Notamacropus eugenii: one gene and its partners. The protein of the gene in region 1 purifies or fractionates together with the protein of each later gene. This does not show direct contact. Links are inferred from orthologs where the notes say so. Each region holds a gene or a part of one and is shown in the gene's direction. Other genes may lie near its edges. The genes, in order: POLR2B, GPN3 and CTDP1.

Region 1 (10,618 bases):
CTCACATGTACAAATATATTTATAGCAGCTCTTTTTGTGGTGGCCAAGAGTTGGAAATTGAGGGGCTGCCCATCAGCTGGGGAATAGCTGAACAACTGTGGTATATGTATATAATGGAATACTAGTCTTCCCTAAGAAATGGTGAGCAGGCGGATTTCAGAAAAACCCAGAAAGACTTGCATGAACTGATGCTGAGTAAAACGAGCAGAAATAAGGGAACACTGTACACAATAACAGTCATATTGTATTAAGAATAACTTTGATAGACTTATGTCTTCTTATCAATGCGAGAATTCAAGACACCTCCAAAGGGCTCATGATGTTAAGTGCTATCTACATCCAAATAACTATGGAGTCTGAATGCGTATCGAATCATATTATTTTCTTCTTCTTTCTTGTAGTTTTCCCTTTTGTTCTGATTCTTGTTTCACAAAATGACTAATGTGGAAATATGTTTAGTATGATTATACATGTATAGCCTATATCAAATTGCATACCATCTTGGGGATGGGGGAAGGAAGAAAAGAGGAAATTTAGGATTCAAAATCTTATAAAAGTAAATGCTGAACACTAAAAATAAATCTAAATTTTCTGATGGTTCTAACTTTTAAGAGATCTATTATATTTGGAACATAAGAGAATAATTCCCATGCTTTTAGCATCTTTCATCAGTACAGAGCTACCTCTTTCTCTTACAAGTTAGTTAGGTTGAAAGTTTTGAAGTACTAGATTGACAAGACTTCTGATTTAAGTCTAGGTATTAAAAAAAATTTTTTTTTAATAGTCTTTCCTTTGATATAACTACGAGGATGGTGGTTCTCAGAACACAGTTTGTAAACCACTGGTGAGTCCAAAATGTAAATCACGTAAAATCTGATCCTATTTTATAGTGCAGGTTTGAAATGACCTCACAAAATGGTGAACAAAGCACTTTGTAATCCTTAAAATGCTCAACATAAGCTATTCTAGTAGCAATTACACTACCTAGTAGAGTGCTCTAAACAGAGTAGTCCTTTAATAACTGAAAGAATGCATCATCATTAACCCCCCCTCCCCCACAAATTTAACATTTTAAAAGCTAGCTCGCATGATGGTCATTTCCCAGGAAATGTTTCCTAGACTGATAGGGGAGGGGAGGTGGGAAGTAGGGAAGGGAGAGTTGAAGGGCAGTGTCAAAGTGAAAGTAGGGAGAGATAATCCACTGAGTTTCTGAAGCTGAGACTCTCTTACCTCTAAAAGCCCCTTTCAGCTTTAGAATTCCATGACTTAAAGTCAAACATCTTGACAGACTTGATAAACAAAAATAAATTCATTCTGCCATTACCAACTAACTTCATGGCGCAAGTTATGGATTCACAGATAAAAGGATGATTTACATCACTATCTGGTACATAATGAAAATCTATACAGCTAGGTGGCTTGGTAGATAGAACACTGGGCTTCGGAGTCAGGAAGAGTTCAAATCTGTCCTCAGACATTTACTAGCCAAGTGACTCTCAGCAAGTCTCTTAACCTTTAACTTAGTTTCTTCAACTGTAAAATGGGGATAATAACAGTACCTACCTTACCACCTTGTTGTGAGGATCAAATGAAAGAATATTTTTTAAGGGGTTTACCAGTGTTTGACACATAGTAGTTGCTATAGTCTTTCTACCAATTCTCTCTACACACCCCCTCCCATATCGATATACAATGATTACTTTTTTATTTTATGCTGACATCCAACACCATCAAATATTTGATATTATTTAGCGCTATTTCTGCCTAGTTTTCCTTCCAAAAAGGGAAAACATAATATATAATATGTATATATAATATATATCCTCCCCTTGACTCACACCATCCCCCTAAATGTATAAGTGAGATGTTCACTGGGAATTCCAGGTTCAGAGTTACTTGCCTGTGGGGAGAAAACCACATTTGCATATTCTATAATACCTGGTGGAACTAAGTCCAAAGGTAAGGGTTTTTTGCCCAACATTTTCCCTCAAATTCATTTTTGCTAGCTTAGACAGAAGTCTCACTGTTTTTGACCCCTTCTAAATGAAACAAAATACATACGCAATTTTCTTTTACAATTCCAGGGGTATCATAAAACCAGTGAACATCTTTCACTTCTTGAGGTGTCAATTCAACATGCATAGTGGGTGCATCGTGTATTATTCTCGGAGGCTCATTCTCCATGTCAAATGCGAGTGAATCAGCATCAAACTCGAAAGTAGGTTCATCATTTTTTGAATAACAGAATGTTTTTCCAACTCTTCCTACAACAAGAGAGTAGTTTGAAGTTATTGATCTTTAAAATGTTTGAATTTTTACCTTTTATACATGTGCATTCCATTCAGTTTCTACAAAGGGACAAGGGGCAGCTAGGTGGTGCAGCCGATTGAGCACCAGTGCAGGTGTCAGGACGACCTGAGTTCAAATCTCACCTCAGACACTTGACACTCACTAGCTGTGACTTTGGGCAAGTCACTTAACCCTAATTGCCTCATCCTGGGTCATCTCCAGTCATCCTGATGAATGTCTGGTCACTGGATTCATATGGCTCTGGAGGAAAAGTGAGGCTGGTGACCTGCACAGCCCTCCTTCATTCAAAACAAAGTCAAGTGCAAGTCATGTCATTATTTCTCTGATGGCACGGTCTTCTTCGGCAACAAAGGACGAACACACAGACACAGGGACTAAGTCACAGAAATAATGACAGGTAGGTGGATACTTTAGGGCAAGCCATTTAATCTCTTCCCTGGATCTATTTTTCTTCATCTGTAAAATGAGGAGGTCAGACTAAATCCCTTTTTAGCTCTAGATAGAAAATAGTACTATGCAGGAGTTTGGCAGCATATGGCATCAGTACTACAGGATGATAAATGAATTTAGCATAGAATCACAGATTTAGAGCTGGAAGGGACATCCAGAGTCAGTAGGTGGCAGAGGAAAGCGTTAAAGGAATTGAGAAGTCAGCATAAACATTAATATTTTATGTGCAGTTGCATATATAAGAATTCAAACTGAGACTGAGTAGCAATGAAGGATCAGAAACACAACAGCTCTCAGCATAACTTGGCAGCATCACCGATAGCAGGAAAAGGAATCTGAGTCAGTATTTGGGCACAACCTGGAAATGACAATTTTTACTTCTTGGCAAGGCAACTGATTCAACTGACAACCCTACTATGCCACGCCCACTCCCCTCAAGAAACCAGAAACAAATTCTCCTGTTTTTCTGAATGTCTTGCCCAGGTGCGCTTTTAAACAGTAGTTTTAACTACAGCACTGGGTCTCAGAATAGGTAGAGGTTGTCCGGATCATCCTGGGTTCTGATTTCATGTTCCAGGGCACAGGATCTGAAAGGTGGTTAGTCCACGGTCTGTTCGGGTACTCACCGACTAAATAACCCTGCTTTTTCATCTGACTAAGATGCTTCTGCTCTTGCTCAGTAAGGTCATCTTCACTTTTAGCTGCTTCTTCTTTAAGTCTCCTGTTCCTTTCAAACATTCTGTAAGGAGTAGGGTTGCTAATAGGAAATTTCAGGAGATTTAAGGTTGTTCCTGAAAGATCAAAGCACGTGTAAATTTTAACTGTGATGAAGAAAATAAAATGCAATGTATTTTCGTGCAGTCTTAATAAAAACAGAAACAAAAAGCTGCCTGTCTTCCCTTTTCCCAGTGCTTGGTGACTCCAAGCATTCGTCATACTGGCTAGGGAAGACAGGGAGGGTACATTAAGACCCTGAAAACATGGGCTCTGTCTTGCCTCGTGGGGATGCATGAAACCAGTCAAGAAACCTTAAAGAGGAGTAAGGACCCCAGGACCCAAAAGGGGTTGAGCGGAGAAAAGCTGGAGTTCACCAGGATGGTCCCGGACACCTCCTCGTGGGCAGACGAGGAAGCACCTGGACAGCAAGGGCGGGATGGGGGTGGGGAGGAAGCTTCAATTCGCTTCAACCAACGTTCAATAAGCTTAGGCTGCGTGTCAGGCACCGTGCTAGGAGCTAGGGGTAACAAAGAGGCAAGAGACGGCGTCCGCGCTCCGGGAGCTCAGTCTGACGGGGAAGACAACGTGCACACACACAAAGCAAGGACATGGAGGCCGAGCGGGGGGGCAGAGCGTGCGGGAGGCTTCCCGCCGGGGCTCACCCGGCCAGGGGGAGATGGTGGCCCGGTCGATGGCGTCGGCGCCCTTGGCGATGCAGTAGTCCGAGTGCAGGAGCGCGTTGAAGAGCGTGGACTTGCCGGCGTTGGTGGAGCCCACCAGGTAGACGTCGCCCCGGTAGCGCCAGGAGCGCTGCAGCGCCGAGATCATCTCCTCCACCCCGTAGCCCGTCTTGGCGCTGAGAAGCAGCACGTCCTGGACCACACAGCCCGGCCTGGCCGGCCCGGCCCCCGGAGCCCCGGCCCCCGTCCTCTTCGCCTTCCTGGGCGCCGGCTGCAGGCCGGCTCGGGCGCATTCGTCCCACAGACGCTCCCGGAGCCTCCGCAGGTAGCCCGGGCCGTCGGCGGGCAGCAGGTCCACCTTGTTGCCCAGCACGATCAGCTGCTTGGGCCCGAGCAGTGCGGGCAGGTCCGGCAGCAGGGGGTCGGGCAGGTCGAGCACGTCCACCACGTAGAGCACGAGGGCCGGCCCCGGGCGCCGCAGCGCGGCGTGCACCAGCTCTCGGTAGCGCTCCCGGCTCACGCGCACCCGCAGGGCCCGCTGGTGGTGCACCAGGAGCCAGCAGCGCTGACACACGGCCCGGGCCAGCCCGCCCGCCTCGGCCCGCGCCTCCAGGCTGCGGTACTTCTCGCTGGGCAGGTAGCCCGGCACGGCGGGGTCCTGGCAGTGCAGCTCCGCCCCGCAGCCCGAGCAGCTCACGCCGCTGGCCGGCACCGCGGGGTCGGGGCTCCCGAACACCGGGCGCAGCCCCTTCTCCCGCGTCTTCTTCCGCTGCTGCGCCAGCCGCCGCTCGTCCCGCAGCAGCTGCTCCCGCTCCTCCTCCTCCTGCCTCCGCCGCAGTTCGGCCGACACGGACGGCTCGACGTCGGGGTCCGCCTCGGGGACGTACTCCGGGAACACGAAGGTCTCCTCCAGCCGGCTCGGGTCCACCATCGTCCCCGCGGCCGGCACCCCCCTTCCTCTTCTCGCTTCCTGGTCCTGCTGCCGCCGCACCGCGGAGAAGACAGAGGAGGCGGCCGGCCGGCCCGCGGGGGGCCGCGACCCGGGCGCGCCATGGCACGTGAAGAGAGGCGCGGCCCCTCGGCGCCACAGGCGCAGCAGCCGGCACGAGCAGCTCCCGGGAAGCATGGGGACGGAGGCGCCGGGAGGGGCGGGGCGGGCACGTGGCCGCGACACCGCCCCGTACGGTGGCTCGGGAGGGACTGATCGCCCCCCTCCGTCCTCCGCTGGGGAAAAGGCGCTCTCACGTATTAACCTTTCTTCAGTTTGAAAATCATGGCTGGCCATGAACGTAGGGGTAAAATTTAATAAAATTAAAAGCAAAAATTAGAATAAAAAATTCATAAAAGCGCATGTAAAATGGATCAATGTAGGTTCCAGGTTAAGTTAAATTCGTGGTTTTTCGCTTCTATCCTCAGGTCCCCAAAGCGCTTACAATATCGCCACCTAAGCATTAGCATTTCAATCTCTCATTCCTTCCTGCTGAAGCAACAGGCCTAAAGTCACTTTCCTCCCGGCTTTAGGCCTCCTGCCCCCAGACACCTCGGCAGACCTAGATACATTCTTTCCATCTAAAGCACGCTAGGTTGCTGGAGGCGCGAATCCAGCCCGCGCGCAAGCCAGCCCCTACGTAGCCCCGCCTCCTCCGCAGGCCGCATGCGCAGTGGGAAGGCGAAACGGCCCGCCCACTCTGCTCAGCGCCACCACAGGACGCGGCGCGCTCGACCTCTGGCTGAGCGGAAGTCGGAGCGGGAACCGGAAGGTTTCGGAGCTGAGGAGCTGGATCGAGCCGCAAAGAGTGCCGGGAACGCCGGAAACTCAAGCTCTCTCGAGTTTGCTGGTCTGTGGCTGCGTCGTCTGCTCTTTTCTGTTCCTTAATTTGGGAGGAATATTGAGAATTATTTGTCAAGATGTACGACGCGGACGAGGGTAAGAGGCCCAGTTAAGAGCTCCTCCCGGACAGGGCCGAGGAGGGGTGTTTTGTATTCTTTTAGTTACCCACCTTCTCCAGGATGCCACTTGTAACGTTGAGGCCCGGGCAGCCCTGAGGTCCATGATACTTAGTGAATAGAGCTGGCGGTCCTGGTGCTTGTGGGTCTGTTACGCGAGAGGCCAGCCTCGTGTCTCCTAACGTGACGCACCCTCCCGTTTTGCCTTTAGTGGTCACTTTGATTTTATTAATGCATCTTTGTTTTACTTTGCATTCGTCCCTGAATGATGGTCCTTAGGTGTCGTTACCCTAGAGCCCAGCCTAAGGTTTCCTAACCTGTCTGCTCCTCCCTCGCGTTTTTAGTTGTCATCTTAATTTTATTAATGAATTCCTTTTTTTTTTTTAACTTTACATTCGTCCCTGGGTATCGTCCCATCCCTTCGTTACCCAGCGAGACATTCCTTGTAACAGGTTTTAAAAAGCGATTCAGCAGATCGAACGCTTTGTTTGACTGTATAGACAGAATTCTCCACCCCTAGTTCCCCACTAATTGAAGGAAATAGGTGAATTTTTTCACCTCTTTTTAGGGTCTTCTCACGTTTCTATATTAAGTTGCCTTTTCTGTAAAATGAAGGGGTAGGATAAGATGGATTCTAACGTTCCTTCCAGATAGAAGTCTACAGAACTAGGAACATCATGCGTTTTAAAAAAAAATTTTCCCCCAATTACATGTAAAATTTTTAACATTAGTTTTTAAGATTTGGAGTTTCAAATTCTCTCCCTCCCACTCCTCTCCCCTCCCCAAGACAGCAAGCAGTTTGATATAGGTTATATAGGTTTAACCTCTATGTGTTATATGTGGTTATGTTTGAAATGTATGTATGTGTTATGTACAGTAATGCAAAACATTTTCATAACATTTATGTAATGAAAGAAAATACAGACCTCCCCTCCCCACAAAAAAATAAAGTAAAAAATAATGTATTTCAGTCTGCTTTCAGACTCAGTTCTTTCTCTGGAGGTGGATAGGATTTTTCATCCAAAGTCCTTCAGAATTGTCTTGGATTTTTAAATTGATGGGAATAGCTAAGCCATTCACGATTTATCATCATTCAGTATTGCTGTTACTGTGTACAGAGTTCTGGTTTTGCTCACTTCATCCGCTTTCCATCAGTTCTCATAAGTCCAAGTTTTTCTGAAAGCATTCTGCACATCGTTTATTGCAGTACAATATTCCATCACATTCATATACCACAGCTTGTTCAACCATTCCTCAGTTGTGGGGTAACCCCTCGATTTCCAATTCTTTGCCACCATAAAAAGAGCTGCTGTAAGTGTTTTTGTACATATATGTCCTTTTCCATTATTAAAAATAACATCTTTGGTATGCAAACCTAGTAGATCTATTACTGGGTCAAAAGATATGCACAGTTTTATGACCCTTTGGGCATAGTTCCAAATTGCTTTCCAGAATGTTTGAAAAAGTTCACGATGCCACCAGCAGTGCAGCGGTGTCCCAGTTTTCTGACCTCCCTACCAGCATTTTGTCATTTTCCTTTTCTGTCATATTAACTAATCTGATAGATGTGAACCAGTATCTCAAGAGTTTTAATTTGCCTTTCTCTAGTTAACAGTGATTTAGAGCACTTCTTTTGTGTGACTATCGATAGCTTTGATTTCTTCATCTGAAAACTGCCTGTTCATATCCTTCGACCATTTATCAAATGGGGAATGACTTATGTTCTTGTAGATTTGATTCAGTTCTCTATATATTTGAGAAATGAGACCATTATCAGAGAAAATTGCTCAAATATTTTTAGGAACATCATTCTTGAACAACATTCACTTGAGGTTTTTTTGTCCTTTTTGTATTTTCACAGTGCTGTACTTTGTTTTCCTGGTTCTGCTTGATGCACACAACGCCATTTTACATGTCTTCCCATCCTCTGAATTTGTATTTTGTCTTTTATAAAAGGTTCAGTCATTTTGTTCTCTTCATGTGTGTAATTTTTTAGCCATTCCTCGGTTGATAGGTATTAATTTCTTTTCCAGTTCTTTCTCATCTGATCTCATCATTTAGCTTTGTTACCATTGTGCTTACCTACCCTCATTCTCCCTTCTTGGTATTTTGCAAATGCATGAAAGAAGAAAAAAGGAATTGTTATATCTTAAGAATTGGGGATATAGATAGAAATAATGAGGCAGACCCTGTTCTCAAGGAATTTAAACTTTATTTGGGGTAGATAACACATCTGCAAATTCAGCTTTGGGGTGATTGGAAGGGCCAAGAAGTCCCAAAGGTGCATCAGCAGATGGATGATGGCAAAGCCTGGGGTGCTTAGGCTGCTCCAGCAGGTCAGATTAGAGTCACCAAGGAGTTCGGAAGATGTAGCAGCAGGATAGATAGCAAGGCCATCTTACCACAAAACTTTGATTAATGAAAAAGCATTTAGTGTTTAATGTGTGCTAATACTGTGGCAAGATCTGTGAATATAAATTCAAAAATCTGAGAAAGACCCTGTAGTTACTGGTCTTATATTCTAATAGGGGATGATAACACATATAGGGGACTGATGTCCATGGAAGGGAGTCACAGGAATTGTGAATTGATTGATTAGGGAGTCATTTTACATACCCTTCCCAGAAGCCCTAGTATTATTGATTTGAAATTTAAAGCTAGTTTTTGGTTTTTTTTTTTACTAGTCTTTCTCCCTATCCTAATCACCATTCCTCCTCACACCTCTGGGATAACGTTGTCATTAACATGAAATCTTTATATTTTCACTCTGCAAGACATCTTTCGTGATACTTTTGAGCATGTTAGGCGAACATGTCTCCTTATGTTATACTTTCTTGATTAAAATTAAGGTAAACTGAGCCACAAAGCACCAAGCACACTCAACTTATTAGCAAAGCGTGAATTTTCCAGTAAACAAAGGCTCAACCTTTTCAGTTAGCTAAGACCTTGAACGAGGGCTGATAAAATTTTTATGGACAAAAGGAGGAGCCTCCAAAAACTAGAAGACTGGCAACATCATAGTGAAAACAATGTTAAATGCTGTAAATTTGGAATGCAAAAACCCTTCCTTTCATAGCGTTGCTAAGGAAAGTTCATTGGTGGTGTCCACTTGTATGGCTAATTGGTTTCACAGTGATAACAAACCAGACTTTTTTGAAGGACAGCCAGTGCTATAGAGGTAATAGACCAGACTCCCTGGCATCCACCTTCATCCTTCAAAGATAATTATTATCCTTGACATAAGAATAGAACAGTGATTTGATTAGCAGGAAAGCTGAACTTCTAACCTTAACTCAGAGATAGTGAGTGATTTATAGGAAAGCTGAACTTCCAAACTTAACTCAGACTCAAATGAAATGTGGCTTAGGTAGTTACACAAAATGTTGGTAGTGATACAGAATGAAATCAATTACAAAAGTGAATCAGTTTGATTTTCTTGATTTTCAGTACTTCATTTGATTTTGCCATTTAGTGGCTTATTGAGTAATGTTATCCTTAGTTACATTGATCGTATATTCATGTGTGATTTAATATACACATGGGAGACACCTTTCTGAGGAGGGCCTTTGTGCTACCTTTGGTATAACTTAGGCAAAATTTTCTTTTAAATCAGTAACACAATAGAGCCTTAAAGTTTTCTACACTTTTTCATTAGTTGTATGACCTTAAAGATGTAATGGAAAAGGTAATCTGAATTGTGTAACATTAAAGGTGTACTGTAGAAAATAATGTTTTGCATGAGAACTTTTCATTCAGGAAAGTATATACTATTTTCACACAATGATTGATGTTATCTTTAAAACTTTTCTTCAGGTTGTGTAATCATTGTAATGTTTTTCATTCTTTTTGAATGTTTTTTTCCAAGAGATAAAGAATCAGCACAGATTTCTTTTGTATATGAAATTAAGTCTAGCACGTTTTCCTGACTTAACCTTTTTTTAAAGTATCATTACCACTTATTCAAATACTACATTGAGTATTAATGTGGTGGGTTTAAATATCATATTCCACTGTTGTCGAAGTTAAAAAATGGCTGCATTTCTGCTTCATTTTGTGTTTTGGAAATCATAATATCATAGAGCTGGAAGGGCCTCTTCAAGGTCATCTGGTCCAAGTCCTTTATTTTTACAAATGAGGAAACTGAGACTCAGAAAAGTTAAGTGACTTGCCAAAAAACACATAGGTCCTAACTACACTTTTGCAATTGCTTCCAAATTAGTTTCTCTTTTCCCAGTTTCTCCCATCATCCCTCTATATAACTAACTTAACAAAATCGTCTTTATAAATCTAATCATTTCAGTCCTCTGCTCAAAAAGTTTTTGTGGTTCCCTGTTGTCTCTAAGACAAAATACAAACTTTAGTCTGCTGTGTAAAACATTTACTATCTGGATCTTACCTTCTTTTTCAGTACTATTTCATTCTTCAACAAGATGCTGTATTCTATCAAAACAGATCTGCTTGCTGCTCCTTAACCTCAGCACTCTATCTTTGGTGTCTGTGTATTTCCACAGGCA
Region 2 (10,102 bases), on another chromosome or scaffold:
ACTGTGCCACCTAGATGCCTTTGCTCTCCCTCCTCCCCTCCCCTTCTTAGAGTCCTCAGCTCTTTGCCAGGGTCATTTCTTGTGCCAACTCCTGCAGAAGGTTTTACTGGATTGACTCAGCTTCTTCTCATAAAATTACTTTGTATTTACTTTCTCTCTGTGTGTATGTGTGTGTGTGTATACATGCATATGTGTGTATGTATATGTATGTACGTATATGTAGATAGATAGATAAATAGATAGACAGATAGATAACCCTTTCGGATCATTTGAACTCCAATAAGGGCCAAAGATGAACTAATCAACCAGAAGAAGCACCGTGGCCTAACATTCCTTTCATTCTTCTCTGAGTAGAGAACATGCCTTCCTGAGTCAACAACTATAAGGCCAGAGGAAGCTAGGAGCATTCCTCTGTTTATGGCCATTCAGGATGAGGTGCCTTAACCAAAAATACTATCTTGAATAATGGAACTTTTCTTATCTTAACATTTTATGGACATATACTATGTCACGTCATGGTAATGGTAAAGGAAACACAGATATCCTGGGTTATATTTTCAACTGACACTTTGTCACCTCTCTTATCTTACTGTATTTATAACCTATTCAATTCAGAAAATTCCTTTCTCATACTATGGTTAAACATATATGGAGATCATACATCTGAGGGACATAGACATCCTGAGTTGGGATTGCTGTAAAACGTATAAATGTTATCATGTTATCATGATAATGTGTAAAACGTTATCATTCTTTTATCAGTCAGTCAGAATTAAAAACCTGGCTCCATGAATACATGAATTAACTAGTTTTAAGGGAACAGACAATATGAATGTATAGGACCTAGCTCGTTTGTCTCTTTTAACCAAACTTTCAGGTTGACAACACATATCTATATATAGATAGATATGGATATATAGATATAGATACACATATTGTCTCCCTCCCCCAATGATAGAATAGAAGCTCCTTAGGGGCAGGACTTATATGTCATTTTTGTCTTGGTATCCCCAGACTCTATCATTAGTGCCTGGCACACAGAAGGCACTCACTACATGCTTACTGAATAGATGTTGTTGATTCCCTGAAAGATTTACAAACACAACAGGTTTGTGGGGCAGACAGTTTAAGTATCAGTGCCATTAAAGATATAAAAGGAGCTTAAGCGCAGAGAGTTCACACAGACCCAAAGCCGGGGAAGTATCCAAGGCCTTTCCCCCTTCGCCCTTCCCCCTCCATCACAGCTGCTGCTTAAGGCAAAGGCTGCTGTGGTGTCCGAGTCTTTGTGACCCCTTTTGGGAGTTTCTTGCAGAGATACTGGAGTGGTTTGTCATTTCCTTCTCCAGTTCATTTGAGGCAAACAGGGTGAAGTGACTTGTCCAAGGTCACACAGCTAGTATGTGTCTGAGGCTGGGTTTGAACTCAGGAAGATGGGTCATTTTTTAACAATTAGTCATTTAGGTGTAGGATAGACTTTTGATTATTTTGTAAGGATGCTCTGAACAGCAACTCTAGCATTAGGGTGATTCAGAAATGACAAGTTAAAGTAGTTAGGCAATTTTTTATTTTATTAGGGAAGGCACTATTAAGTGGGAGTATTACTAGAAAGTGATTTTTGACCTTAAAGAAAACATAATATGCTTTTCTAAAAATTAACAGTTGAGTTAGGACAGCTGGGAACTTTTATACCGATTTCCTCCTTGAAAAATTAGCTGAGTGCCTAAGACAACGATCTCCTACCATCATTCCCACCCTGTTCTCTCTAAATTCAATCAGTACTTAGTGAGCTCCTTCACCCCACCCTTCTACCCCTCAAGAATGTGAAATAAGGCATTTTTTGGAGATTTAAAAAATGCAGAGAATGGAAAAAAATGTCTGTCACAACTATGGTTAGAGAAAGTATTCATAACCAAACAAGGTAAACAGAAATTACATAAGACAAAATGGATAATTTTGATTGTATAAGGTTTGAAAGCTTTTGCACAAACAATACAACTTAAATAAGAAAAATTTAATGTGAAAAAATGTCTTTGCACCAACCATCTCTGATTTTATACCCAAGATGTATAGGGGAGGCATGTAAATATATAAGACCTTGTATGTGAATTTTATATATGTAATTATACATATGTACTGTTATAAGTCATAAAAACACATATATAATAATTCTTTAATATATAAATTGTCAATGGATATGAATGGTTATTAGAAGAAGAAATGAAAACTGTTAACAACTATATGAAAAAATGCTCCAAATTAAATGTTAAAGAAATTAAAATTCAAACATGGACCAGAGTCTCACTGCTGACTCTCTAGACTCCCTTATCTATGGTGCTAGAACATCCTTCTCACCTTGGCACGATTTCCCACCAGCTCTACTGCCTTCTGGTTCCCTGGAGGATCCCACTCTGCTCCTGTGGCCCTGTCCTCAGTTGGGTGGTTTTAACTGAAGACAGGTACTCTCTTTCTGCTTCTATATTCCCAGCACTTAGCCCAGTGCCTAGCATACAGGACACACTTAGGAGATGTTTGTGCACGTACTGGCCAATTTCACTTCCTATTCATCATAATAGATACAGGTAGAAAATACTGGAGGAAGTATGAGATGACAGGTCCAGGTGGAGCTGTACATTGACCTAGCTGTTCTGGAAAACAACTTGGAATTAGGCAAAAAGAAAACAAAAAGTCACCAAGCTGTTCAGAATGTTTGACCTAGCAATCTTCTATTTGTTATGTATCTCAAAGAAAATCAGAGAAAGGAAAGTCCCAAAAGAAATATTGCTGTGCTAATATTCACAGCAGTATTTTCAGAGTCTCAATACAGATCTAAAGAAAGTAAAACCCATTGGTAAATGGCTGAACAAATTGTGGCACGAGAATGTAACAGACTATTACTGCCCCATATATAATGACAAATATGGGGATTGAGAGAGATATGACTTCCTTATTAGAACTGTATAAGTTGATACAGAGTGAAGAAAGCAGAACCAGGAGAACAGTATGCCTAATGACTACAAAAAAGGAAATGAACAAACGCCAAGACATCAAAATTCGTATTAAATGCAACAACCAATCGTGGTTCCAGAAGATGAATGATGAAACTAACACATTTCTCTCTTCTGAGCAAAGAAGATGTTGTGTAAAGGGTAAAAAACAGTCACTTTGTGAGTTGGGTTTGTGGAATTGCTCTTATTTTAAGGGAGAAGGTATCAATAAAATTTTAAAAAGAAAAAAATACCTATAGACCTTGGAATGTGGAATTTTCTGATGTTACAAATGTTTGCATTTACTTCTAAGTTATATTAAAAATGTATTCCTTTACATTCATAGGTTCAGGCAACTATGGAGAATGTTCCACGGAGGGTCCGAATGGAGGAGGGACCACCAGATTCTACTGTTTGTGGATAACACTGTCCTAATTATATCAAAGCCTAGAACTGTAAAATAAAATGAAAAGACAAAGAAAAACAAAACAACCTCCCCACAAAGATCCATAATAACTCAGAAGAGGTCAACATAATAATCTATAGAGGAAAAAACAAACAGATGAAAAATGGCTATCGTCCAAACTGTGACATGCAGTTAGATGGCGTAGAGATGGATTGTGAGTTGGGCCCGGAGGTTCAAGCTTCTACTATAGTGCATTAAAAGGGGAATTGTTCTTTTATTATTATTATTTGTATCCCAGTGCTTGACATATTAAATCCTTGTTGAATCACTAGATTGAATTACATTTTGAAAATTCCAGTTTCTTAAGGATCCCAAGCTGTTCTCTCACACACACATATACATGCTCTCTCTCTCTCTCTCTCTCTCTCTCTCTCTCTCTCTCTCTCTCTCTCTCTCTCTCACACACACACACACACACACACACACACACACACACACACATACCCCTTTCTTTTTAGAAACACAAATGTTCTCTCTGAACCAAAGAGTGGTGAATCTTGGAACACAACAACCTCTAATGAATCATAGTGGTTGATGACTCCAAGGACAATGGAGAAGACAAAGAGTAGGCTAAGTCAGTTACATTAGGATATATGCGTAAGAAGTGACATAAAGAATATACTCTAGGAAAAATATAATCAGAAAAGGAAATGGGCTAGCTATGTCCTGAGAGTGAGGCATGGACAACTCCGAATTGCCAGCAAAGAAAAGTATATTTTTAAAAAGGCCTAGAGGAAGACCTCCTGTCCAGTGGATGGATCCTCAGTCAGTCAATAAGCATCCATTAAGCAAATCTATGGAAGAGTATAGGATGTAGAACAATCGGTTGATGGGATGTTATCTTTAACAACAGAAATAATACTAATGTCACTGAGGTATCAGCTCTAATTAAGCACTGACATATTATACAGTTTCACTACAGCTGTACCTAGGGACCTGAAGGGCAACCTACTCTAACCTTCTCCGTGACTATGTGAGCCTATGAATATAAAGGAATAAATTTCAATGTGATTTTAAACAAATGCAAATACATTTAACACCCGAAAATTCCACATTCCATCACCCAAAGGTGTTTTTTATTTTTTATTTGTAGGTATTTTTCTTCTTCTTAAAGTTCTATATTTGTCTTTTGTTTTTAATCTCAGTGACTTCTTTGTAAGGATGAGGACCCACCCCCCCTCCCCAGAAGTCTTGTCTGTCCCTACACTGAGCTACCTGGAGAGCTTAAAGGCATAAACCTTCGGTTTGCCAGGGGAAAGATCCCAGGGGATGGAATCAGGAGTCAACTAAAAGTAGCCCTTTCCCTCATTCAACAAACTTATTAAATGAATGAATAAAATATAATTAAAAGCTATTTCAAAAAGAATTTATTTTTTATTATCTCATCTCTCACACAAGGATTTTCCTCATTTTCAAGAAGGCAAAAGAAATACACAATCTGATGTCACACAGCCCACCCCAGGGACCAGAACCCAGGCGTCTCGCCTCCCAGGCTATTGTCTTGAGCGCCTGAGGTTTTCTATGCCGCTCTTATAGAAGCTGACCATCCCTGCCTATTTTTCTGTGGAAAATGTAGCCTGGTGACCCAGCGCCCCCTCGGGGTAGAAGCCTCCACCGTGGCACCCACCCAGGTGAGTCACTGCACCAAACGCCTGTGCGGCTGCTGGGAACCTTTCCCCAGCCCCAGGCCCCCGCCCCCGTCTGACTGTGAGTCAGTCCTTTCCCCATCCTCCCCAGCAGCAAGGGATGCTCGTCCACCCTCTGCAAGAATCCTCTCCTCCCTCTTCGCCCGTGGCTTATCCATGCGTGGCCAACGGCCCTCTACACCACGCCCCGCCCGGGGCCGAGGAGAGGGACACGGACTGGCCCCCGTCCCATCTCTCGGTGCAAGCCTGCGGGGCCCCGAGCCTTACCCGCTGCTCCCGGCTGCAGCGGACAGCTCGGACCCTCCGCCATCCTCCTTCACCCAGAGAGGCGTCTGCATCTGGCCCGGCATCTTCTCCGAGGGGGCCTCAAAGGCGACGTCCAGTGCAGGGAGGGAGGGAGGGAAACTTCCCCCTCTCCTCCTCCGGGTTTCAGGGTGCGTGCGTCAGGCCGGGGAGGTGTTGGGCGGACAGGGCGCTGAGCCTCCACCCCGACCACCTGCTTGTCTGGATCCTTCCCTCCCTCCCACTCTTCCTGGGGCTCCCGCTGGCTGGGCTCTGGAGGGGCAGGGGGGACGCTGGTCAGGCGCGGAACGCTGGCGAGGGGCACGTTGGCATCTTTCGGGGCTGAGGACGCCCCGTAAACGGGAGGAGCGCGCGCATCCTAAGCAGGAGATGACGCCCGGTGCATACTGAGCACGGACGTGTGGGCACGCCTCTTTACGGGATCCCTTAGCTGGAAATATGATAATTATTACTACTATTATAATTGTATTTTAAAACATTTAAAAACCTCCCAGCTGAGCTCTCTGTTCAGAACATCACCCCAAATAGCAATGCCCAGGATCTGCCGGAAGCCTGGCTAGGCGGTGGTTCCGCCGCAGCCCCAGGCAGGGATGCGCTCCCGCCCCTTCTGCAGGTGGATGGATGGATGGGTTGGTACAGAGTCAAGCTTTGTGCCTGGATCCATCCTCGTCCATTCTGCGCCTGCGTGCCTGGCGAGCCGCTAGGCAAACCCAAATTGACCTCAGCGTCGTTTCTTACTCTTTAGGAAGCATGGCCCTCTTGAAGACCCATAGCAGGAGGCGGGGTTGTGTATGCTAGAATGGGGAGGGGAGAGAGGGCCGGCCCTCGGTTTCGATTGGCCCTCCCGCCCTCCGGAAGTCGAGTCGCGGACTGTGCGCCCTCAGAAGTTGCCGGGACGCTCTTGGCGTGTTTCTTCTTCTTAGGCTCCGTCGGTAGCCGCTGGGGCCCACGAGGGTCAGTATGCCTCGGTACGCGCAGCTGGTGATGGGCCCCGCCGGCAGCGGAAAGGTCAGTGTTGGCAGGAGGCTGTTGGAAACGGGGTGGAAACTCTAAGATCCCCTGGAATGCTGGGAGCCTTAAGATGGGGACACAAGCCACACAGAAGCTACAGCCGCCCCCAGACTCGAGGGGAGGAGGGGATGCCTGGGAATCTAGCCACCTAGCTGCCCCTCAGTGTAGCTAATCCTTTGATGGAGGTAGAGGCATCAAACCATAATACCCAACCTGTTGTTTTGACCAGGACTGGTTCAGAAACTGCCCTCTTAGTGTTCTAGGGAACGCAAATATAAACATTAGAGAACCCGAGATAATATTAAACTCAGTGAGCTCTTATTAGACCCCTGCTGTATGCTAGGCACTTAGTAGGGGCAGGGTGGCACAGCCGACCTCGAGGGTGGGAGGACGTGGATTCGAGTCCTTGCTTTCTGGCCCAGGCTGGTTGTGGAATCCTGGGCCAGTCGCCTCTCTACCGAGGTGGAGGGCACGACCGCCCTGGGAGTTCCAGCCCCACGCTATCCCTAACCAATTCAATAATCGATCCATCGATCGACTTTTATTAAGTTCCAAGTATATGACAGGCACTGTGCTAAGCACCAGAATGCTAGAGACCCTGGAGATATCAAAGAAGGCTGGTTCGCTAACATCAATACGAGATAGATACTCTCCTAGCTGTGTGACCATGGGCAGATCACTTCCCTTCTGTTGTAAAATTGGGGTCCAAATAGCTACCTAGACCATATGGTTGTTGTGAGGCTTAAGTGAGATGAAACCATAGATGGAATCTTAAAACACCCAGGGAAGGTCAGTTACTGCCCTGTACTAGGGGGGCCTTCCCGTTGGATGAAACCTACCTGGGGTTTGTTTTTGGTGGGGACAGACAGCCCTGGAGACGCTGAAGGCACTAACCAGTTTCTACTACCTAAAGATTTTTCATGCTAAGGTCAGAGCAACAGAAATTTAGGGCTGGAAGTGACCTTAGTCCAACCCTTTCGTTTTTCGGAAAATGTTGAGACCAGGACAATTATAAGTGACTTGTCCACACCAAGAGGCAGAATTTGAACCTAGGGTCTTCTGACTTCAATTCCAGTTCTCTCTTTTGCTGCACTGCTCTCTTGTTGGAAGGACCTCAGTTCCAAACCTGGCTTTGCTACTTACAGGCTCCCAACCTAGGAGTCATTCTGGATTCCCATTCTCTCATCCCCCATATCCCCCATATCCAAGCTATTACCATAGTTTGCTGGTTTTACCATTGCAGCATCTCTTGTCCATTTCACCTTGGTAGCATCTCTAGTTGATTTCACCTTTGCAACAGCTCTGGTCAGTTTCAGCTTTATAGCATCTCTTGTCCATTTCACCTTTGCAATATTTCTGATTGACTTCACCTTTGCAGCATCTTTCAAATATACCTCCTTTTCTCTTCTGACCCTGCCATCCCCCTAATGCAGGCTCTCATCACCTCATATCTGGACTATGGCAATAGCTGCTTTGGGGGTCTGCCTGCTTCCAATCTATCCTCCACTTAGCTGTCAAAGTGATCTTCCTAAAGTACAGGTCTTGTATGTCACCACTTGCCCTGGTACAGGCTTTCATCACCTCACACATGGACTGTTGCAGTAGCTACTGGTGGGTCTGCCTACCTAAGGCCTCTCTTCATTCCAATTCATCCTCCATTTTGCCACCACTAAAGTGATTTTCCTAAAATTCAGATCTGATCATGTCATCTTCCTATTCAATAAATTCTTGAGAGTTCCTTTTGCCTCCAGGATCACAGTATCCTCTGCTTGGCCTTCAAAACCTACTCCCTAATTATATTATGAACAGCTGGTCCAGCCTATGAATGAATCCAAAAAAGTCTGGACCTTTATGCTCACACTTTTGCCAGAGAGCCCTGTCAGACCAGACAGCATCCTGTCCAAGTTTTGTGCTATCATCTTGTGTAATTCATTGGGGAAAAAGAAAAAGAAAGAGAAAGTTGCAGATAATCTAAAATATTTTCTGCTAAACGAAACACCTGTGGCATCAAAGTTTATCTCATTAAAGAACAGAAAGTTGATTTGTTGCAGCTTTCCAGACATACAATTCACAGATGTTTCTAGGTGAAGAGGTATTGTGTTCAGAATATCAGAATCTGAGTTAAGCAAATGGCCTTCACCAACATGAATGAATGTGCAACCCAAGATCAAATAATAGGATGAGCCAGGTGACCAATAGTAGCGCTGAACTTAGAGCTTTCTACTAGAATATGGCAGAGCCTTTCCCCTGTCCAACAAAATAAAACACAGTAAAATTTTAAAAATTCATTGCAGATAAAGGGAATGAACTAGAGGTGGAAGCCCTTCTTCCACTCTCAGCATCTTAGGAGAATTCACCTATAGAAACACTTGTGGAAATAGATGTAGACGAATAGTGTGGGAATTAATCAGAATGGGAAAGTTAAAATTACCCGTGTTACTGACCTCAGTGTAGATGGGTGTTCATCTTTCGTTGCCAAAGAAGACCATGCCATCAGAGAAATAATGACATAACTTGCACTTGACTTTGTTTCGAGTGAGGGAGGGCTGTGCAGGTCACCAGTCTCACTTTCTCCTCCCAAGTTATCTGGATCCAGTGACCAGATATTCATCAGGATGAGGCAGTTGGGGTTAAATGACTTGCCCAAGGTCACACAGCTAGTGAGTGTCAAGCGTCTGAAGTGAGATTTGAACTCAGGTCCTCCTGACTCCTGCACTGGTGCTCTATCCACTGCACCACCTAGCTGCCCCTCAGTGTAGCTAATCCTTTGATGGAGGTAGAGGCATCAAAGCATAATACCCAACCTGTTGTTTTGAGTAATTTTAGTTTTACTGCTGATTTACCATTCTCCAGATAGTAATGTTGAAATGGAACAGGTAAACTGCTATATTTATGCTCATCATTTAATATTTAGTGATTGACAATTCTATGTACTCTACAGCTTTCTGTGCATCTATTATCTGCCGAGATACCTTGTTTATTTGTAACAATTACTTTGAAGGAACTTCATGCATTTCCATTCTTCAGTTGTAAAAAGTTAAAGAAATTTTATATCTGAAGAAATCATCCATCATTAAGAACTAGCTTAAGACCACATTCTCAATGGGGAGCTTCCTGAGAAGTAGACCTAAAGTCAGCATCATAGGGCATTTGAGTTGATCAGAATTTGCTAGACTGTTTGTTAAGTGACACCTGGACAAAGGGAGTTTAAGAGCCGGTCCTGGAGTGGAAACAGTGTTAACACTGAAGGTTCATTTGTGAGCCTGACAACTGCTTTAGAAGATGTCCATAAATGAGAGCTATTCTCTTCCACTAAACGTTGCTAAAATATTGAATTAGCTACTCCATTGCAACTTAGGTGGAATCTTTTCATCCTAACTTGGATCCATTGAAGAGGATATCACAACTAATACTTCTGAGCAAGCTGAGGCTTTGACATCAGATTTAATAATAGTTCTCAATTAAGATAGTCAAAACCTATTGACAGAAGTGCCTAAAATCAGGAAATCCTATATCCTGAAGTTACAGTCTTCCTTCACAGACTAGAGAAGCTCTGTTCTTTCACTGTTTTTCTTCCTACAGACAGTGACTGGAGTCTTACTCTTTGGTGTGCTTCTGGGGCTTTTCACTGAGTTTGTGGAAGTATAAACCTTGTTTTTTTTCTTATTTTTGTTAGCAAAGAACATCATAGT
Region 3 (10,431 bases), on another chromosome or scaffold:
GCTCTGTCCTGGGATTTAACTTCTCCATTCTTGTTTGATCTTCTCTTGCCTTCTCTCGTCTCCTTTTCTTTCTTTCCAACCTATCTCTCAGATCCCACACAGGAACTCAGGGCAAGGAAGATCCACTACTACCACCCTTGCCTTTCCCCTGTTGGCTCCTCCCCCAAACCCTGTGTCCATCCCAAAATCCATCCAGGCAGAGGGAAGACCTGTCACCACTGGGTGACCCATTCTCCCTTGAGAGTGAAGTGAACAGCTCTATTCCTTTAGATGATATGGGACATCACTGGGTCTTACCATCTACTCTTCCTCTATGTTTTTGAGTCCTTTAGCACTGTCATCTGATCTACTTATATAATCTATTTATATAATCTAAAGACCCCTGGACTTTGTTGCTCCCTTAGTACAAGCTCCTTGAAAGCTGATACCATCTCAATTTTTCTAATTGTATCCCTAGTGCTTAATGAAATGCTTAGCCAATAGTAAAAATCAAATCCCTGCCTTCAAAGTACTCATACTGCAATGGGGGAGGCAACATGCAAATGTGCAAATATATAAATAAGATATATACAGGATAAATTGGAGCTAATCTCAGAAGAAAAACACTATGATTAAGGAGACCTAGGAAAGGTTTCTTCTGGAAAGTGGTATTTTAGCCAAGACTTGAAGGAAGCCAGGAGGCAGAAAAAAGTAGGGAGAATATTACAAAGGGGGACAACCAGTGAAAATACATAGAGATGGGAGATGGTATCCCATGTGCTAGAAACAGCAAGGAGGACGGTGTCATTGGATTGCAAAGTCCGTGTGTAGAGGGGGAGAAATAAGGTATAAGAAGACTGAAAAGATAGGAAGGGGCCAGGAAATTAAGGACTTTCAAAGCCAAACAGAGTATCTAGAGGCAATAGGGGGAGAAATATTTAAAGTAAAAAGAACTTAGTAATTTCTTCCTTCCTTCCCTTCTTCCTCCCTTCCCTCTTTCCTTCCTTCCCATCTTCCTTCCTTCCTTCCTTCCTTCCTTTCTTTTTTCCTTGGAGTAAATGATCAGATCTCTACAGACGATTTTCCAGATCTATATAACCAGTCCTGGTCTTTCTCTTGAGCAACAATCCTGCATGACCAGTTATCTAATAGATATTTTCAAATGGATACCATCAACATCTTAACCTCAATATGTCCAAAACAGAACTCATCCCCTCCCCCTCTCCCAACCCTCCCTTTCCTATTTTTATTAAGGGTATCACCATCTATCCACATCATTTTAATATTCTGAACTGGGTGGGCCTGAGGTGTTCCAGTTGGTGGGTGAGTGGGTGAAAACTCATGACTTTACTATATCTAGCTGAGCCCAGACCATACTTCACATTCAGTGGTGTTCTGGTAATTTTTTTTTAACAACAAGCTGTCCAAAGCAAGTTAATACATTTTAAGGCCAGTCTACATTTTCTCCATCACTCTCTCCCCTCTAGACAATCAACAAAACAATATATCAAGTGCTGGTTTTTAAGGTTTACTGGTATCTAACAGGGTAAATGCTAACACTGAAAATTTAACAATTAGTTCTTCCAGCACATCCCATCCAGCCATCCACCAATATTTCTGGGTCTACCCAGCATGTTAATTTGTATTTACTTACATAAGTGGATGTTTTCCTCCAGTAGAAAGTGAGTTACTTGAGGGACTATTTCATTTTTCTCTCTATTTCTCCAGAACCCAGGACAGAGCCTGGCATATAGTAGGTGTTTAAAAAATGTCTTAATTGAATGTTCTGATTCACCCACTAGTTTATAGTGAATACATTACCTTCCTTGGCCCCTGTTTCTTCATGCCAGAAGAACCCAAATCTTACCTCTGTCCTTTGCTAACCATATCACCTCGGACAAGTCACAAATTTCCTGATGCTCAGTTTCCTCATTTATAAAATGGTGGACATTTGCCTGCATTTTAACCTTATTGCTTAGCCTTTTCTATTTTTGTCTTCCTGTTCAAGGATACACTTATAAGTAATTTAAGATTTGATGAAACTTGGCAGGCTCCAAGAAGGCATTAAGATATCATCAAGATTCAATTTATGGCTTATTTTCTATAAATTTGAGCAGATTTTAATTTGGGGTAGAGTCTAGGTTATAAAGATAATTAAGTGCCCTTTTCGAGTCTGACACTTCACAAAGCTACCAGTAATACTGGCTTTCCCTACTTTATTGAGGATGTGAAAACAATGGGCCTGATTTCCCCACCAGTTCCTAAATAATGGTTCACAGTCATAAAGGTTGAATCAACAAGCTTTTATGGTAGTGAGGACAGCAAGAATGTTTCTTCACTACGCACAGACACTTGGAGCAAGGTGTTGATTCCCAAGAACAAAGTACCAAAGGCCTCTTGGCTTTTAGGGCCTTATAGCTGACAATCACTAACTTTCCGGAAGATTTTTGGAGAAGAGGCTGTTTCATTGTTTCCCAAACCAAGGTATGCTGCTCTCTTGTAGAATGCTAAAATATCAATATTCTTTACTTGTGACTTAGTGTGGATGGTTCTCACTGACTGGAAGTGGGGAGGAAAAGGGGTTCTTAGCCTCTTTTTGTGTCATAGACCCTTTAGCAATCTTCTGAAACCTTTGGACTCTTCAGAATATTTTAAAATAAAATATATGGCATTATAAAGGAAGCCAATTACATTGAAATTTAGTTATTAATATACCTATACATGTGTGTTTATATACATACAAAAGCATATATGTAACCTACATAATGCACACATGTGTGTATCCATGTATATGTGTGTGTATGTATATGTGTGTGTGTAGACATACACATATGAAGTTCATTAACTGCAGTTTAAGAACTGCAGGGGGAGGATAAAACCAGAGCTGGTGGAAACAGTAAGTAAAAGAAATAGGTTTTTAAAGTTTATCAATTTCACGGAGCAAAAACCTTTGGTTGTAAAAATTTTGTTTACCAGGTAAAAATATTTCATGAGTCTGTCTGGTCCACAGTTGAGAAACAGTGTCTAATTCTGAGGTATCCTTAATACTTGCTTGAAGACACCCCATGCTCTCCATCTCCGTTCCACCTCACACCCCTTAACTTTTTGTTTCGGATTTGTCTCCCACGCCTTGACTTCAAGCTCCTTAGGGGCCAGGACCAGCAGTTGTTTCGGCTGGGTCAGGTGCGGCAGGGGGGACATTTTTAGAGCAAGAGGTGGGACTGGAACATCAAGGCCAGAAGAACCCTAGAAGGTTCCACAGCCCCAGGCAGCCCAGGGGTGGCTGTTGTGGCTGGCAGTTGGCAGTCTAGGGTGTCTCCTGCATTCTGCGATGAGAAGAGCCCCTTGCAAGAGGGCCCTCTGGAGGTACTGAAAACTCACTTTTGTTTGGGTGTCCCAAGAATGGGGAGTCGCTAAACTGGCATGCCTAAATGCCAGGCGGTAGGGGCTTTCTTTTCTAGCTTCTCCGCTAAAGGGAGAGGTGTGAGGGCAGGGGCAGCAAAGGGAGAACATTTTAAAACTGTGCCTTACATCTGTGGTGTCAGAATCCAATAAAACGGGTCCCCGCGGGGCCGCATGTTGATTGACAAAACCACAAACTGACCTTACTTATGCTGTATTTTGATTCGTTTGGTTAAACATTGACTTGTTACGTTTTAAGCTGGTTCGCGCCAACACTCGAGAGCTTTGCTGGGCACACGTGGCCGGCGAGTTTGACACCTCTGCCTTTCGTGATGCAGAGAGCAGACGCGTAGGGAAGGGCAGGGAAGGAGCCTTTGGCTGGCGACAATGTTTCAGGGGCCATGTGCCAGCAACACTGTAACAGGGGAAAGCTTGTTCTGCAGCACTTTTCTTTAAAGCAATACCCCCTCCCTCTAGATGTCCTGGCTTCTTCCCTCCCCCAGGCCAAGGGATAAAGGAATTCTCACTAAGGTGCTACCTCTTACACCTAGCTGTTAGCCATTTGAACTAGACTGAGTGCAGAAAGTGCTTTCTAACTCGTGTTCTCATTTTAACTCAAAGAGAGAAATCACTAACAGTGATCTAACCGACACTACAGCGACTTAGTAAAGGATCTGGAGGGCCTGAGAATGCCTAAAACAGAAGGTTTGCCAAAAAACTCCACCCAGGCATTTTGCTCCGACCGGACGCGGCCAGGATGGACTTTAAGTTTTCAGGCTGATTGAGCATACAGAAGGCAGACTGTTTCCTTTGCGTTTTCGCCCTTAGCCCCCAGCACAGCGCCCTGGTTCCTAGCAGTTTTAATTCATTTCCCCCAACTGAAATTGGACATTTGGTTGTCTTTAGGCCCTCCCCCGTGCTTCTGAACTCAGTAGGAGGCTGCTTCCCATTATTTTGTGATAAGGGTGGATCCACGAACAGAAGGAGTCGCCAATGGTCTAAAACAGAAGGGGTAAGAGTGTAAATAATTCCTGAAACTATGGTACAACCTTTTTGGCCGAGGAAGGAGAGGTTTAAGTGTCTAGGCAATAGCCCCATTAGAATCAGGGTTGAGTGAAGTTCCCTAGCAAGGTCCTAAGTTGGGGACAAGTAAAATGGCACATACAACATGATATTCCTCCCAACGCAAACCTGAAGTTTTAAAGTCCATTTCTGGTTTAACTCCCAGGCAGCTTTCGATAAGAGATCAAGAATAACAAGGGACCGTATATGCTTTTACAATGTCTTTCCGTGGGAGGGCTTTCCACAAATTTTCCAGTGTATTTGAATACGCAAGCGCAAAGGACTCTCCTTGCTCCGCTTTTGTAGGGAGGTCCCGTTCCCCCACGAGACTACAAGGCCCAGCATGCAACTGCGAGAAGGAGACTCAACAAGGATCTGTAGTCCGCCAGCCCGGCTTCCACAGACACCACTGGGGGACAGTTGCATGCTGGGATTCGTAGTCCTCATGCGCTCAGACATGAAGCGGATAACCACGAGGGTTTTGGTACAACCGCTTCCGCTGTTTTGTGCCCGGTGAGGGTTATTTCTCGGACGTTTCCGGTACCAGTTGCTCACGCGGACTCCCTCTCCCCAGGGTCTCGGGACTCCGTGGCCCTCCCTCCCGTGTGCGTGTGAGCGTACGTGTGTTTACACGCAGGCCGCCCGCCCACAGACAAACACGCGGTCTGAGGGAAGCACGTGAGAAGCCGCCCCTTTGACCACGCCCTCTCCCCTCCATGAGATCATTACGTTCTCCAGGAAGTCGTCATAGACCGGGGGAACTGGCGGCGAGGTGACTAGCCGAGCAGAGGGCGGGAAGAGCTGAAATAACCACCTCCGCCCCTGCCCCACATCCGGGACGCTGGGATTTCCGCGTTACTGTGGCTTTAAATGGAAGCCGGGCCCTGAATACGCAAACGCGTACGACTTTGCCTTTCCTCTCCGTGTTCCATCCTCCCTCCCCCCCAACCCCCTCCTAAAGGAACAGTTACTACTTTTTTCCTCACACCTTTCTAACCTCTCCTTCCACTCCGCCTCCCTCCCCTTGAAGTCGCTGTTTTCCTCTCCCCCTTTGGGGGAGGGCTAGCCTTCCTCCGTTCGCTTCCCGGTCTCGAGCCGGCGGCAAGCGCGTTGCCATAGCGACCCGCCCCGCGCGCCGTGCTGCCCCCGGCCCCCGGGCACTAGAGGCGGCGGCGCTGGAGCAGGGGAGAGGGCCCGGCGGACGCACGGCCCGGAGGGGGATGGAGGCGCGGGCGGACCCCAGCGGCGGCGTCGGAGACTCTGCAGCTGCCCCCACCGCCAAGGGGCCAGCCCCGGCCCGCTCTGCCGAGGGCCCCGCGGCGCTGGCGGCGGCCGTGACGGAGATCCGCTGCCCGGGCCCCAGGCCGCTGAGGCTGCTGGAGTGGAAGGTGGCGGCCGGCACAGCGGTGCAGATCGGCACGGTGCTGGCTGTGTGTCTCCCCATCGTGCCTCCCGCCGGCGGCGAGGCGGGCGGGCTGCCGGCTTGCAGTGCGCGCCGGAGAGCCGGGGAAGGAGAGGGGAAAGGGGGCGGCGGCGGCGAGGGCAGCCCCCACCCGTGCGGGAACCAGCGCGGGGAGCCCTCGCCTTGCCCGGAGGCCGGCGGCTGCGGCCGGACCCAGCGGGCGGCGGAGCGCAGGGTGAAGTCGGAGCGGGCCGGAGTGGTGCTGGAGCTGTGTGCGCAGCGGGGACAGGTGGTCCCCCCGGGGTAAGCGGCCGCGGGGGTTACTCCGCTCCCTCGGTTTCCCCCTCCCCCGACCTTTTCACCCCTCCCTCCCCCCCATAGGGGCCGGCTCAGGGACTCTCCCCTCCCCACCCGTAAGCCTCAGGCATCGCTGGGCACCGGGCCGACCTGCCGAGGAGGAGGAAGAAGACGGAGGGAGCTGGCTTGTGCCCCAGCCCAAGGGTTTTCGTTCTTTTTTCCTGGAGGGCGGAGGCGGAGAAACTATTCAAAACCGAGAACTTCCGTCGCCTCTAAGTAGACTGTCCTGGGACCGTCCTGCTCGCCCCTGTCCTTCTGCTCCTCCTCCTGCCTTCCCCCCCTCCCCCGACCCCAGATACCTGGCGGGGGGAGGGGGCTCGGCGCCTGGAGCATTATAGTATACCCCCTTACCGACCCGAGAGCGTGCGAGGAGGAGGAGGCAGGTGCGAGTTCCCAGCGCTCTCCTGCATCTCAGCTTCTCTCTTCCTCGCTCTTTCCCCGCCCCACCCGCTGCCCTACAGGGGGGCTTAAAGGGGAAAATAATGTGATTAAAATAAGGCTTCTCCTCTCAGGAATAGCTACAGGGTTCTTTTTGGCGGTGAGGTCTCTGAGGCACACCTCTGACAGAGATGCCTTAAGTTATCAATTGACATTTCTTTAGGGAATGAAAAGCTCTTTCACCTTGAAATATGGATTATTTGGTCTACTCCCATCCTACTTTCTGCAACTTTGGACTCCTCTCCTTTAAATCGCTGCTTACTAGCTGGACAAACAAAAGGTTTTTTTTAAACCAAATCTGATTTTATTTTCTTCTTTAACAAGTCTTTTTTTCTTATGTAGCCAGAAAGCTGTGGTTGTTGTTATTTTTGCAGTGCAAAAAATTTGGGGGGAGTTGGAGTCAGTCTCTAAGAAAACCAAACATTTATTCCACTTGCTTTTTTAAAATTTTGTTTGACTTTAAGATTAAAACAGGAAATGATGATGCTGAAGTAAACACGTATATAATGTATACATCTGTTTAAATATATACACATATGTATACATGTCTACATCTGAACTATAGCTGGGTATTGTTTGAATATACTAACTTGTTCAGATTGATCTGGTATTTGGTGTTGTCTGTCTCTTTTTTTTTTCCTGCGCTCTAATCTTGTGAAACTAAGTGATAAAAATATGATATAATTGTGCATCATAGCTAAGAAGAACGTATGAGACTGAGCTCTCTAGAGTACAAAATTACAGCAAGCTTTTGAATCTAGCCAAACTTCTACCCTGTCTCAGTACTTAGTTTGTTTCAAACTCTGTGATCATATACTTGACCAAAATGAGTCATTGGGTCATCATAAGATAATTAAAGGTGAAAAAAATAGTCATTTCACTTAACTGGTAGACTCCACTGCAGAAATGTCTACTTTTTTTTCTAACATATTGTAGATTACTTTCATCAATTTCTTGAACTGTGGTTATTTTTTGCTGTTCAGTGGCTCTAAGGAAAATTGGCCTGTAATTAATTTCATTCCCCGGGTTTAAAGTATATTATGTTATTTATTTTGTGGTGGGAGGAGTGGTCAGTTTTTTATATAGTACACTTATTTGCAATTGGTCAAAATATCATTAATTAACCTTTTTACAAGATCTTAGAGGAAGCATGGTGTGGTGGGTAGAAAGCTATCTTGAGTGTCAATCAGAACTGTGTTCAAATTCCAGCTCTGACATTTGCTGGCTGTGTGGTCATTTTGTTCTCCTCCTTCCGCCCTAGCCAATTAACCTCAATATGCTAGACAGCCCTCTAATTCTACAAATTACAGATCTGTAGCTGATTTGTTTTGGTAGAGAGATTTCTTTCACTTTCAGTTCCCTACACTAAAGAAATTACAACCCAAGATAACTTAGGTTTAGCTTAAAGGTTGCTTACATAGTGTTTGTTGTTATTGTTCCTTATATGTGTGTAATAATAGGGCATCATAGATCTAGACCTGGAAGGGAGCTCAAAGTCTAGTCCCTTCTTTTTACAGATGAGGAAACTTTTGACCCAAGAAAGTTAAGTGACTTGCCCAAGATCATACAACTAAGGACATGTAAGAGAAGAGGTTTCAACATCAGATAACAGTGCTTTTTACATTACACCACGCTGTCTGTGTTGACACTTCTTTTTTCTGCCATTTAACAGGAATGTCAGTTTTTTTGGTATATTTTTATTCTTTCAATTCAAGATATGAATATTAGATAAGACATTTCCAACCTTTGTGGAGTTCAGAATAATGGAGGATAGAATATGCACAAATAAATATAATATACAGTGAGTATTTGCTATTACAAGAATGGCAAATCAATGTGAAGATCCAAAGTTTTTACATTTTAGTTGGGCTAAATAGGCAAAGAGGTGAAAGGGAGGTCTTTTTCAGGCATAGGAATACTAAAAGCAAAGGTACAGGATACCTTTTGAGTATAGAGAATAGTCTGGTTTGACCTAATCATAGAGTATTTGGAGGGAAGTAATATGAAATAAGACTGGGAAGATTGGTTCCACTTGTGGAATCAAGATAAGTCAGAAAACATTTATTAAGCTCCTACTGTGTGCCAGGACCTGAGCTCACAGACTAATTGGAGGAACAACCTGCAAACAGCTCTTTACAAACAAGATATAAACACGATTAATTGGAGATAATCCCAGAGGGAAGTCATAAACATTAAGGAGGACAGGGAAAGCCTTATTGCAGATCATGGGATTTTAGGTGAGATGGGAAGAAACGATGGAATCCTGGAGAAGAGAGCATTCCAGGCCCAGGATGCCCAGGAATGTGTGAAAACTAATGAGGAATAGAGATGGAATCTTATATGTGATCCATAGCAAGGAGGCTAGAGCCGCAGTAACTAGATTATGGAGAAAACTGGGAGAGTAAGGTATAACGAAACTAGAAAGGTTTATGAAGTTCACAGTATTTTCTATTTATGACTCTGAAGGCAACAGGGAACCAGTGGAGTTTATTGAATAGGGTAGTGACATGGTCAGACTTTTGCTTTATGAAGATGTCTTTGGCAGCTCAGTGGTGGATGACCTGGAGGTGTTTGGATGCTAGAGGAGTTTGAAATTTGCTCAGTAGGTAATAGGGAGAGGGATTGCCTGGAGAAATGCATACGACATACTGACATGACCAGATAACCACATAAGGAAGATTAGTCTGTCAGCTGCTTGAATGACATTTTGGAAAACAGAGAGTGGTAAGACCTATTTAGAGGCTGTTGCAATAGTCCTGGCAATAGTTATTAGGGTGGTGGAGGAAGATAGATATGAGAGAGCTTGTAGAGGTATAATTAACTAGACTTGATGGTGAGTTGGGTATGTGAAGTAGAGAGGAAAGAATCAGAGAGTTTTGAAAAGTTGTTTATTAGAACGTTGATGACCTATGACTGGTAGTAGTATTAAGAGAAGTAGGCAAGTCAGAAGGAAAAGCAAGTTTAGGAGAAATGATAAGAATAGTTTTGGTTGTTTTGAGTTGAGGTGACTATCCTGGGGGAGATATACCATAGGCTGAATATTCAGGTCCAGTGCTTAGAAGAGGGGCAAGATTGGAGATAATAGATGTGGGAATCCTCTGCATTGGAGGAATCCCTTAAAACCCTTAGTGAGTGAATGAGATTGTCTAGGGAGAATGAGAAGATTATTGTGGACAGTAGTAGCAAGCAACACCCTTCCCCAGCCTCTCTACCAGTGCAGTGCTTTGCTTCATAGACACATGGCAGATAAGACTGGATGAGAAGCCAGTGAAGGAAACTGTAGTTATTGAGTTGGGAGGACAACTTAGGAAAGTGTACATTCTCCAAAGCCAAGAAAGTCCTGTTTAGCACTGGGATATGGCAAAACAATGTCAAATCTTTGTGGAAAATAAAAAAGAACCATACGAAAGGCTGTTAAATTGGCAGTTAGGTGGTCATTGGTATTTTGAGAGCAGTTTCAATATAGTGGTAGGAGTTAAATGTGGAATAGGTTGTAAGGAAATGGAGGTATAGTTTATGGGTGACTTTTTCAAGAAGTTATATGGTGAGGAGAGAGATGGAATGATATCTGGAATGGGCAAAGGAAGAATTGGTTTTTAGGATGTGACAGACTAATTTGATATAAGCTAATGATGATCTCTTCTTTAGGCAACTTTTCTTTCTCCTGATCTTTATTATATGCCATATTTTTCCTGTGTTTTGAATCCCCTTTCTGCCACTAACTCTCCATGTGTCATGACCTTGGGAAATATATTTGGGTGGGTCTTATCTTTACCTGTAAAAAGAAGAGG

The links.
Region 2: the proteins of POLR2B (region 1) and GPN3 purify together in Homo sapiens (co-immunoprecipitation; 3 studies listed by BioGRID and IntAct, counting the BioPlex papers as one, with this or other methods). This does not show direct contact. The link is inferred for Notamacropus eugenii from reciprocal best matches to the Homo sapiens genes POLR2B and GPN3.
Region 3: the proteins of POLR2B (region 1) and CTDP1 purify together in Homo sapiens (affinity purification with mass spectrometry; 3 studies listed by BioGRID and IntAct, with this or other methods). This does not show direct contact. The link is inferred for Notamacropus eugenii from reciprocal best matches to the Homo sapiens genes POLR2B and CTDP1.

The regions. Positions count from the first base shown.
Region 1 is NC_092877.1:108,358,229-108,368,846, forward strand, and holds the start of POLR2B (DNA-directed RNA polymerase II subunit RPB2), read left to right. Parts: upstream 1-5,820; 5' UTR 5,821-6,065; coding exon 6,066-6,084; intron 6,085-10,618. Other genes in the region: NOA1 (nitric oxide-associated protein 1), read right to left, coding at 2,062-2,264, 3,387-3,551, 4,140-5,442. UniProt on the Homo sapiens protein: Catalytic core component of RNA polymerase II (Pol II), a DNA-dependent RNA polymerase which synthesizes mRNA precursors and many functional non-coding RNAs using the four ribonucleoside triphosphates as substrates.
Region 2 is NC_092875.1:35,915,148-35,925,249, forward strand, and holds the start of GPN3 (GPN-loop GTPase 3), read left to right. Parts: upstream 1-6,170; 5' UTR 6,171-6,359; coding exon 6,360-6,407; intron 6,408-10,102. Other genes in the region: protein FAM216A, read right to left, coding at 5,364-5,446. UniProt on the Homo sapiens protein: Small GTPase required for proper localization of RNA polymerase II (RNAPII). May act at an RNAP assembly step prior to nuclear import.
Region 3 is NC_092875.1:201,293,152-201,303,582, reverse strand, and holds the start of CTDP1 (RNA polymerase II subunit A C-terminal domain phosphatase), read left to right. Parts: upstream 1-5,532; 5' UTR 5,533-5,663; coding exon 5,664-6,148; intron 6,149-10,431. UniProt on the Homo sapiens protein: Processively dephosphorylates 'Ser-2' and 'Ser-5' of the heptad repeats YSPTSPS in the C-terminal domain of the largest RNA polymerase II subunit. This promotes the activity of RNA polymerase II.